2 linked regions of the Callithrix jacchus genome follow. The protein of the gene in region 2 binds, or shares a complex with, the protein of the main gene of each other region. Links are inferred from orthologs where the notes say so. Each region holds a gene or a part of one and is shown on either strand. Other genes may lie near its edges.

Evidence for each region. The genes of interacting proteins can lie anywhere in the genome.
Region 1: the proteins of CIC (region 2) and YWHAQ are in contact, whole or in part, in a crystal structure (PDB 6KZG), measured with the Homo sapiens proteins. The link is inferred for Callithrix jacchus from reciprocal best matches to the Homo sapiens genes CIC and YWHAQ. Residues at the interface, in NP_001291744.1 of Homo sapiens: Arg1207, Ser1208, Met1209, Ser1210, Glu1211, Thr1212, Gly1213, Thr1214; in NP_006817.1 of Homo sapiens: Lys49, Arg56, Lys120, Arg127, Tyr128, Gly169, Leu172, Asn173, Val176, Tyr179, Glu180, Leu216, Ile217, Leu220, Asp223, Asn224, Leu227, Trp228.

Annotation. Positions count from the first base shown.
Region 1 is NC_133515.1:105,386,588-105,391,982, forward strand, and holds part of YWHAQ (14-3-3 protein theta), read left to right. Parts: intron 1-3,900; coding exon 3,901-4,024; intron 4,025-5,395. UniProt on the Homo sapiens protein: Adapter protein implicated in the regulation of a large spectrum of both general and specialized signaling pathways. Binds to a large number of partners, usually by recognition of a phosphoserine or phosphothreonine motif.
Region 2 is NC_133523.1:37,329,579-37,333,690, reverse strand, and holds the end of CIC (protein capicua homolog), read right to left. Parts: coding exon 4,091-4,112; intron 3,995-4,090; coding exon 3,669-3,994; intron 3,354-3,668; coding exon 3,109-3,353; intron 3,012-3,108; coding exon 2,857-3,011; intron 2,774-2,856; coding exon 2,642-2,773; intron 2,373-2,641; coding exon 2,241-2,372; intron 2,153-2,240; coding exon 1,785-2,152; 3' UTR 1,182-1,784; downstream 1-1,181. UniProt on the Homo sapiens protein: Transcriptional repressor which plays a role in development of the central nervous system (CNS). In concert with ATXN1 and ATXN1L, involved in brain development.

The DNA.
Region 1 (5,395 bases), on a different chromosome or scaffold from region 2:
TCCTGACTTCTTACCAGATACCAGTACCCTTATTTGGAAAGACTTTCAGGGAGCTGTGTCAGTTTGGGGGTTTTGGTCTCTAATCTGTGTTTTCACAGTAATTTTAAAAATCTTACACATTTATGGCCTATATTCTATCTGATATTAATAATATTTGGTATTGATAATACAAATAGAGCCTTGATTATTTGGGTAAGACATGAAGCGGAATCCATTATGTCTTCTAGCTGGGCTAAAGTATACATCTTTACTACTGATAGTATATGGAAAGACAGAATTACTCTGTACCTGTTGTTTCCTTCACAGAGAGCTAGTGGCATCTGATGAACAACCATGATACCTGGCTGAAACTCCAGGGTGGAAGTAATGCCCAAGTCCCTTTATAAAAGCCCACCACTATAAATCCTACATAATGGCTGTATGCAAACTAGTAGTCAAAGTCAATCATTTTAGAAAGGAAAGGTTTTGGTTAGCTCCTAAGTGGCTGTGTTTGTAATGAATGCAGTAGCTGTTTGGCAGCTTTCTGAATCTTTGGAAGGCCCTTGGTCCATAAGTCCTTGTGAACACCCACACATCTAGCATGAGAGACTAGTGCTAGAATGGAAATTTCTCTGTTCCCTACTCCTCACCCTAAGCCCATGTTCTAGTCCGACTTCTCTCAGCCCCTGCTCTTACATATCTACCACATTTAACAGAGCACTAGATGAGTAGCTTACCAGAGCTGGCACCTTTTCGGAGATCCTCTGGAATTTCATTGTAACTGACTGATTCACTTGGAGGAACAAGAAAAGTGAGAGGCATCTTATTTTACATTAGAGTTCCTTGGTGTGGGTACAGGCAGAGGTGGTATTTCTCTCAGTATGAGTACTGTGTTTGCCTTCTTTGATAGTACTTCTCAGAATCCGTTCATTTAAAGATAGCAGTGACTCAGTCAGTTTGAGATGTAGAACTTTTTTGTGACTTTCTCGCCATTGCCTCCTGTTCCCTCCCTCTACCACCACCCTAATTCAGTTCATAAAAATAGTTTTTAAATTGAAAGTCATCCATAATATGTAAAAATGGTAATAGAGAAAAATATTAAAGTAATATATTTTTAAGATTTGAGTGTCGCAATTTTTTTTTTCCTTGAGACAGAATCTTGTTCTGTCACCCAGACTGGAGTGCAGTGATGGGATCTCTGCTCACTGCAACCTCTGGCCTCCTGGGTTCAAGCAGTTCCCTGCCTCAGCCTCCCAAGTACCTGGGGATTACAGGTGCCCGCCACCACGCCCAGCTAATTTTTTTTGTATTTTTAGTAGAGATGGGGTTTTACCATCTAGGCCAGGCTAGTCTTGAACTCTGACCTCGTGATCCATCCCCCTTAGCCTCCCAAAGTGCTGAGATTACAGGCATGAGCTACTGCGCCCGGCCTCAGTTTATTAAATAACTATTAAAATTATATTGGTGATGTTGAGCACAATACTTAACATCTGATTTGTCTTTTTTTTTTTTTTTTTTAGTTAAGAGTGTAGTGATGCTGGAGCATCACTTGTCACATCTTGACATCACTTGTCATACACTTGTCACAGTTGCCTTTAGTTTGGGTATGCCCTTAATGACCTCTGTTGCCACACTCCTGTCTCAGCAACTTTCCAACTTGAGCCACAATTTTGATACTCATTACTTTTATAATGTATAAACTTCTAGGACTTCAACACTTAATTTTATACTAAGAGTGTGTGTGTGTGTGTGTGTGTGTGTGTGTGTAACTTCCTCTGGCCTCAGGCCTTTAAATACATTAAAATAATTAATTTAAAATCTTTTTTAAATTAAAGGATTTTAATTATTTTCCTGTTTTTTGTTTGTTTGTTTGTTTTTGTTTTTTTCTTTTTAGAGACAGGATTTCTTTCGCTATCTCTCCCAGACTGGAATGCAGTAGCACGATCATGGCTTACTGAACCCTCTACCCCCTGGGCTTAAGCCATCCTTCTGCCTTAGCCTCTCAAGTTACTGGGATTGCAAGTGTGTGCCACCACACCCGGCTAATTTTTTTAAATTCTTTGTAGAGACCGGGTCCCATTATGTTGCCCAGGCTAGTCTCAAAATTCTGGGCTCTCAAGCAATCCTCTTGCCTCCACCTCACTTCCCAGAGTGCTGGGATTATAGACATGAACCATCACACTTGGCCTCTGTTTATTTTCTTTAAAAATAACGTATGGGCCAGAAGCAGTGACTCATGCCTGTATTCCCAGCACTTTGGGAGGCTGAGGTGGGCAGGTAACCTGAGGTCAGGAGATGAGACCAGCCTGGTCAACATAGTGAAACCCCGTCTCTACTAAAACTACAAAAATTAGCTGGGTGTGGCAGTGTGCACCTGTAGTCCTAGCTGTTCAGGAGGCTGAGGCAGGAGAATTGCTTGAGCCCTGGAGGTGGAGGTTGCAGTGAACCAAGAACACACCACTGCACTCTAGCCTGGGCAACAGAGTAAGACTTTATCTCAAAAAAGAAAAAAAGAAAAGAAATATGTGGATGCAGTGATTGCATTTTGTTAAACCACTTCTAAACAGATAAACAACAAGAGAGTTATTGGTTAGAACTGTGTTTTCTAAACATTTGTATTTTAAATCTATAAACAGCCTTATTTTTCTTTAGCATTTATGTGAATTTGAATCAGTCTTGTTGGTATCATAGATGGTATTTTTATATAATATTAATTGATTGTATTTGTGGTTATTTTTCCAAAATGTAAAAAGGATTCTTTCTCTTCCTTGCTTTAAAATGTTCACTAGTTTCACTTTTCCTGGAGCAGTACTTTTCAAACTGTGTACCTAGGTTGATACTAGCTAACATTTACTGAGCACTTAATATGTCACACTATTCCAGACTTTGACATCTGTTACTGGTTTTATTCTCAAAACAAACCAATGATGAAGTAGGTATTAGTATCTTAACATTTATATGAGAATTTCATTCTGCTTTGTAATATTTAATATAAAAAGGTTTCTAAATGAATGACCTAGCATCAAGAAAAATTGAATCTAAGATTTCTATTATATTTGTTTTTTGTGACTTTTTATACTCCAAGGCATACCCTGTACGTCTAGAAGTGAGAATTTCTTTGTATGAAATTAACAATAAAAGACATACTCCAGAATTCTAAGTTTGTTTTAAAATTACATTTAGTAGACCTAAAATTATTTTATTTGCTGTGCAAGTTTTTAAACCTCTTACTCTCAATTCCTGTATTTGCCTTGCTTTAGATGGACACTTGCCTGCAGTGGGCACTGAGTAGCACTGTTCTCCCACGTACTTGATGTCTTAAACATTGTCTTTCCCTTCCCTAAAATGAGTGCACATCCTTGTTTTCTGCTTGTTGCTTTTCTACTTTTCCTTCTTGACACTTCAAATACTCTTTCCCTGGGAAGCCTGTCTAACTGGAGGCCATCTCCAGCAGAGCCATGTACTCCCTCGCTGTGCTTCCATAGCACTGTATTCACCTTCTCTCTTAATGCTTGGTGTGTAGTTGGTATGCTTTACAGACTCTGAGCTTCTTGAGGGCAGAGACCTGATTTTAAGTCTTCTCTATATCTATTATAGTCAAATACTTGGCACCTAGCGGTGTGAGTAAATGTTTGTTGAATGAATAGATGAGAGAACAGACAGTGTCTTTCAAATTACAATGTGTGGTGTAATCTAGTATTACCATTAGAAATTATAGGCTACATCATCATTTAAAGCCTCCCAGGGCGACAACCTAACCCCTGCCCTAAGAACATGCTTCAAGTCCAGGCTGATATGGTATAGTATTACTGTAGTAGTTAATGATTGAAATGCCCGACAAGCAGAAGTTTGATCATTTAATGATAATGTGCAGCAGGCAGAAGTTCAGTGCCTAATGTTCCCGTGTCTTATTTATTTCAGGAGTTGCTGGATAAATACTTAATAGCCAATGCAACTAATCCAGAGAGTAAGGTCTTCTATCTGAAAATGAAGGGTGATTACTTCCGGTACCTTGCTGAAGTTGCATGTGGTGATGATCGAAAACGTAAGTATATTTGTTATATGGGCAAAACTAAAGTACAAAAAAAGGGGACAAACAGGTCACTGTGACAATATATGTAGCCTCCAGGCTCTTTGTGATGTAAAAATAATTGAACATACATCAAGAAAATTAGTATTATCTTACATTCTCAAAAATGAAAATTGGGTCATAAATTTACATCATGTGCCCTTTAAAAGAAAGACTCATCTATGAACTTTAGTTATAATTGCACATGGTATTACTTAAAACAGGCATAATCTTTCATGCTTTAGAATTTTGGTTCACTGTGCTCTTTCCACCATCTTTCCGCGCCACCACAGTGGTCCACATAAATGTCCTGGCTGATGCTCTCGAGCATCAACGATGCCGAAAAGAGGCAAACACCAGGTGCTTATTAGGCCATGCTCCAAAGTCATCATCTGGTTTCTCATTGTGATGATGAAGCATGGTTACATTGGCAAATTTGAAATCATTGATGATCACAGAGCTGGGAAAATTGTTGTGAACCTCACAGGCAGGCTAAAGAAGTCTGGAGTGATCAGCCCTAGATTTGATGTGCAACTCAAAGGTCTAGAAAAATGGCAGAATTTACTTTATCCTGCCAGTTTGGTTTCGTTTTTAGCTCCAGAGATTTTTGCGCAAACTTTATGAGTCATTCTGCATTTCACATGGCCTTTTTGTCATTATGCCTTAAAATGCAGATAACTGAAATTACTCATAGAACATGGAATCAGGATGTTGTGCCTTTTCTGTTTGTCATATTAATTCATTATCATCTATTTTAAGGGGTCATAACATTGACTGCTAATTACATGTAATCAAATTTCTGAGGAGGAGAGGTGAGATGAATATGTTATTGCTGGTATATTATTGCTGGTATATTGCTGGTTTATTGCTTCACAGTAAATTTGAATGACCCATATGGTTAGGTTTTACTTGAGAAAGTTGAATACACAGGAATTGATGATTAATCAAGTAGTAGTCATAAAAATAGATTTCAGTATTAAATGTCTATTTTGTTTTTACCTAGACTATCATAAAAAAACATGGATATGGGAAAAAGTGATCAAATTGCCTAACTTGATAATAAAAAAGTGAAGTGAATTTATTTGCAGTGAGTGTCTCCTGGGATGCTGGTAGCAGAGTATAAGATCCTATTAAATTCTGTGCATGTGCTTGCTACCAGATTTATCAAGTTCTAGGTAGTAGAAGTATCACTTAATTCCTTATTTTTTCCAGAAAGTTTGTTATTTTGTTTTTTGCCATCCTAAATATCAGTGTAACTGAATATATAAAGACAAGTTGTACCTTGAGAAACTGTTGTACCTTGCTGTAACAAAATCTGTATACTAAACTTATTCTGTTACTGATGTA
Region 2 (4,112 bases):
TGGGTACCACCACTAGTCCTTACCCTGATCTGTGACCCTGCGGTACTGCAAGGTGGTGTTTTTTAAGACAGGGTCTCTGTCACCCAGGCTGGAGTACGGTGGTGAGACCATGGCCCACTGCAGCCTCAACCTCTTAGGCTCAAGCGATCCACCCTCCTCAGCCTCCTGAATACCTGGGACTACAGGTGTGTGCCACTGCATCCAGCTGGTTGTATTTTTTTGGAGGCATTTTGCCCTGTTCCCCAAGCTGGTCTGACTCCTGAGCTGAAGCAATCCACCCGCCTCGGCCTCCCAGAGTGCTAGGATTACAGATATGAGCCACTGTACCTGGCTGTGGTTCTATTTCTGCCCAGGGCAGGCATCACTGATACATTAAGACACTGTTCTTGTGGTTAGGTTAATTTTCACAATAGAATGTTTCAGGCAGGTGCTACCAATCAGTCAACACTAGGCAAGACCAGCTTGCCAGCACTACCCTACAGCACCAAGGTCAAGAATTCTGTGAACACAGGGACCCGGTACTGTGAAGCCCACCCTACCCTGCCCCTCCATCTCTGCATACACTGTTGCCCCAACTGGAAATTTCTAGTGCTCCAGCTGTAGCTTAGATGCCACTTCTACAGAGGTATCCTGACCCTCCCACCCTTAGTTGTCATCCCTCCACACACTGTATCTGTCATCTCAGGTGGGCACTGTGTCTACATGCTGAGTGGGAGGGGTGTCAGCCAGGGGAGGCTACAAGCTACTGCAGTGCTGACCCAGGCAACATGGGGGCAGTAAGGGTCACAAGGAGGACCCTCGTCTCCTGCCACCCACTGCCACCTCTGGACTAGGACTTTTGGGGGCCTGTTTCCTGAATACAAATGACACCAGAGACTGAGGGTAAACCATCTGGTGGCATCTTGCCTCAGGCCTTCCCCAAGCTCATGCAGTCCAATGGCTGAGAACAGGGCCCAAAAGCATTGAGGCTCCCTGAGCACATGGGCTCCTAAACTGGGAGGGGCTGCCTGGTCCACATGTCAGGGACCTGGCCCATGGGGTCCCTCTGATGTTGGAGGTAGTCCTCCTGGTATTGCTCCCCCAACCTCATGGAAAGTCTACAGCTCCATGACAACTGAGGACAGTTATGAGCCACTGTATAACCAACAGCCCTCCCCGTTAAGAGCCCAAAGCCACACAGGTGTGTTAAACAGCTTTAATCTCGCTCATCGCGGCTTCTCGGCACAGTAAGAAATATTGCACATGATCAACATGTTTTGTTCTGGGAAAGGGGGCAAAGGCAGGGGGAATCACCTTCTTAGAAAGTACAACCCAAGTTGGGAGGGCAGAGGGGGTGAGGAGAAAACCCTCCCCGTGCCTGTGGCAAAGTGCAGGAGCCCCCACCCCCAAACTAACCTGAGTCCAGCCCCTCTGGGGAAAAAAGGGGTGCATGAACTCCCCCCTATTCCACAGGCGCCTCCCTGTGGCCCAAGGCCTGCACCACCCTCCAGCTTGCAGCCCTCACAGGAGCCATTTTGCATAAAGTGAAAAGCTCTGAAGGTCACACACTCCAGGTTATGTACAGGGGCTCAGGAGGGAGACTGCCCCTGCGGCCCTCTCAGCTGCCCCCCAGCACCGGGAGGGAGCTGTGGGGGAAGGGGGTATATACAAGAGGAGCAGGCCTCATTCCGCCCCAAACTGGAGAGGACGAAATGGCTTTACCCGGGAGGAGATAACCTTCCTGCCCCCATACTGTCCATGTCCTGAGGGGGTACTGTGAGTCCTGGGATCCTCTCAGGGGTCCCTCACCTGCCTGTGGCAGCTGTGGAGGGACCTGGGGGTGGGGGGGAGGGCTGTGGAGCCCCCTCCCAGCCAGGCTGGCCAGGCCCCGACTCTGGTGGCGGAGGCAGTGGCGGGGCAGCCTGGGCTGTGCCAGAGTCCGAGCTGGGCGAGGTGGGGTCAGGGCCCCCAGCGGGGCTGGGAGTGGGGGCAGGGGCAGCAGCGGTGCCAGTGGGGGGCGGTCCAGGGAGGGGGGCCTCAGCTCCGGGGGGCTGCTCCGTGGGAGTGGCTGCCTGCATGATCTTCTGGCGCACCTCACGGATCTTCAACTGCAGACAAACCTTGGAGGGAAAGATGTCTGCATAGCGGGCCTGGAAGGCGGCTGTGGCCTGGGCTGGAGGCAGAAAAACGAAGGGACCACAGGGTGAGATGTGCAGACAGGTCCCACCCGAATGACCTCAAAACTCTTAAGACACGCTCACCTGATGGGAAAAAGCCATGGTCCTGGAAGAGCTGCATGACCAGGGCCCGGCGCTGGTCCAGGGTGCGCCGCAAGGAGGAGTACGGCACCTTCTCATACTCCAGCTCCCCCAGCACGTCCTCAGCTTCTGTACCTGCGCAGGCACAGGCAGCATGGCAAGGCTACAGCAGTCTTGTCACCGTCTGAGTGCCCACCCAAGCCCTCACTGCATTCTATTTCACAGAGGAGTTAGAGAGGAGTCCTGCCCACAGTCACAGGGCAACTCGGGGGCCTGCCAGACTCCAGAACCCTGACCTGCTGTCCTGCCTCTGACACCCACCCCACCTCTCCCTCTAACTGCCTCCCAGAGACCCACTCCTCTTGCAGGCTCCGGGCCCGCCACAGCTTTGCCCACCACGGCACCTGTACGGTCAAAGGTGAAGATGTCCCCCTCGCACTTGGCACTCTTGGGGGTGTTGGGCTCCGAGCTGCAGCTGGAGCGTCTCCTCATCTTGCGCTTGGGTGAGGTGGGGTCCTCGGGTGCTGAATCCAGGTCTGGCCAAAACAGAAACAGGCTCAGTGCAGGTGGTCCCAGTCTGCCCTTCACCTATGAACCCTGGATGCCCAACGCTCCCTACCCGTGGAATTCTTCCTCTTCTTGCGGTAAGAGCCCAGGATGGCCCGGGGTGAGGTGGCCAGAGACTGCAGGGTAGGGGAAGGCAGCACCTCCTCAGGCCGAAACTCAGGCAGCTCTGCAAAGCGCTCTTCAAAGTCCACTTCTGACAGGACCCTGCTGGAGGGCCAGCAGGGTCACCTCCCCTGCCTCAGCCTGCAGCTGCTCCCACTCCCACCACCCCACACACCCCACCAAGGCCCCAGCCCATGCTCACTTGTCCACAGAGTCAAAGGTCTTCTTCAGGGGCGGGGGCCGCACCTTCACCTTCTTGCCAGTACTAGCCGCCTCCTTGCGCTCAGGGGTGTCCCCGGCCGCCCGCCCACCACTGCCCTCGCTGCTGCCACCAGGAGCTACGGCTGGAGCTGGAGCTGGGCTGGGAGGGGTGGGAGGCTCCCCACGACTCTCCAGGCCCTGCCCAGGGACGCGCCAATCTGAAGATGAGCTGGGGAATTTGCTAGCCTGGGGTGGAGATGGGTAGGGAAATGGAGAACACGGGGCTCAGACTCTGGGGCAAAGGCCAGAAACAAAGAGTTGAATCTGAAACTGACCGGCAGACCCCTTGAGAAGGCCCAGTCACACAGCCTTGGGAAGGACAAGACAGGGTCTCAGATCAGAAGGGGAGCCAATACAGGCAAGCAGAAGGGACAGAGGGGACCCTTTAAACTGAGAAACACATAGGCATGGAGGAAAGAGAAGCAGGACAAAAAACCAAAGATACCAGTGGAGGGGCACAGCTGAGTGCCAGTGGGGACCCCACAGCCTGCAGGTGCTCACCATGGTTTCAGGACCCTTGGCACTGGTCCGCTCCTCAGCAGGTAGGGGCGGTGGGGGGCTGCTCCGGGCCATGGGAGTCCAGGTCTCTGGTGGGGGTGGAGGGGCTGGTGGTGTGGGCTGCCCCTCAAGCTCAGACTCTGGGGCAGTTGGCTCTCGGACTGGGCCAGGCTCCAGAGGCTGCCGGGGTGCAGGGCCAGGCCGTCCAGAGGCACCTGCCTCAAAGGACCCCACAGGAATGCTGGCAATGGCCGCCTTCACTTTCTGGGGTGCCTTCGGGCTAGGCCGCTGGGCCTTGGGGGCCACTAAGCTGTACGTCATGGAACCTGCTAGTGGGGAGAAAAGCGTTTGCTGAGCCAGGCCTGACTGGTACCCATCTGCTGGGCCCCCCAACTCACCCTGCTGTGAGTTGATCTGACACCTACCTGTGGCACTCGGGAAAGGGCT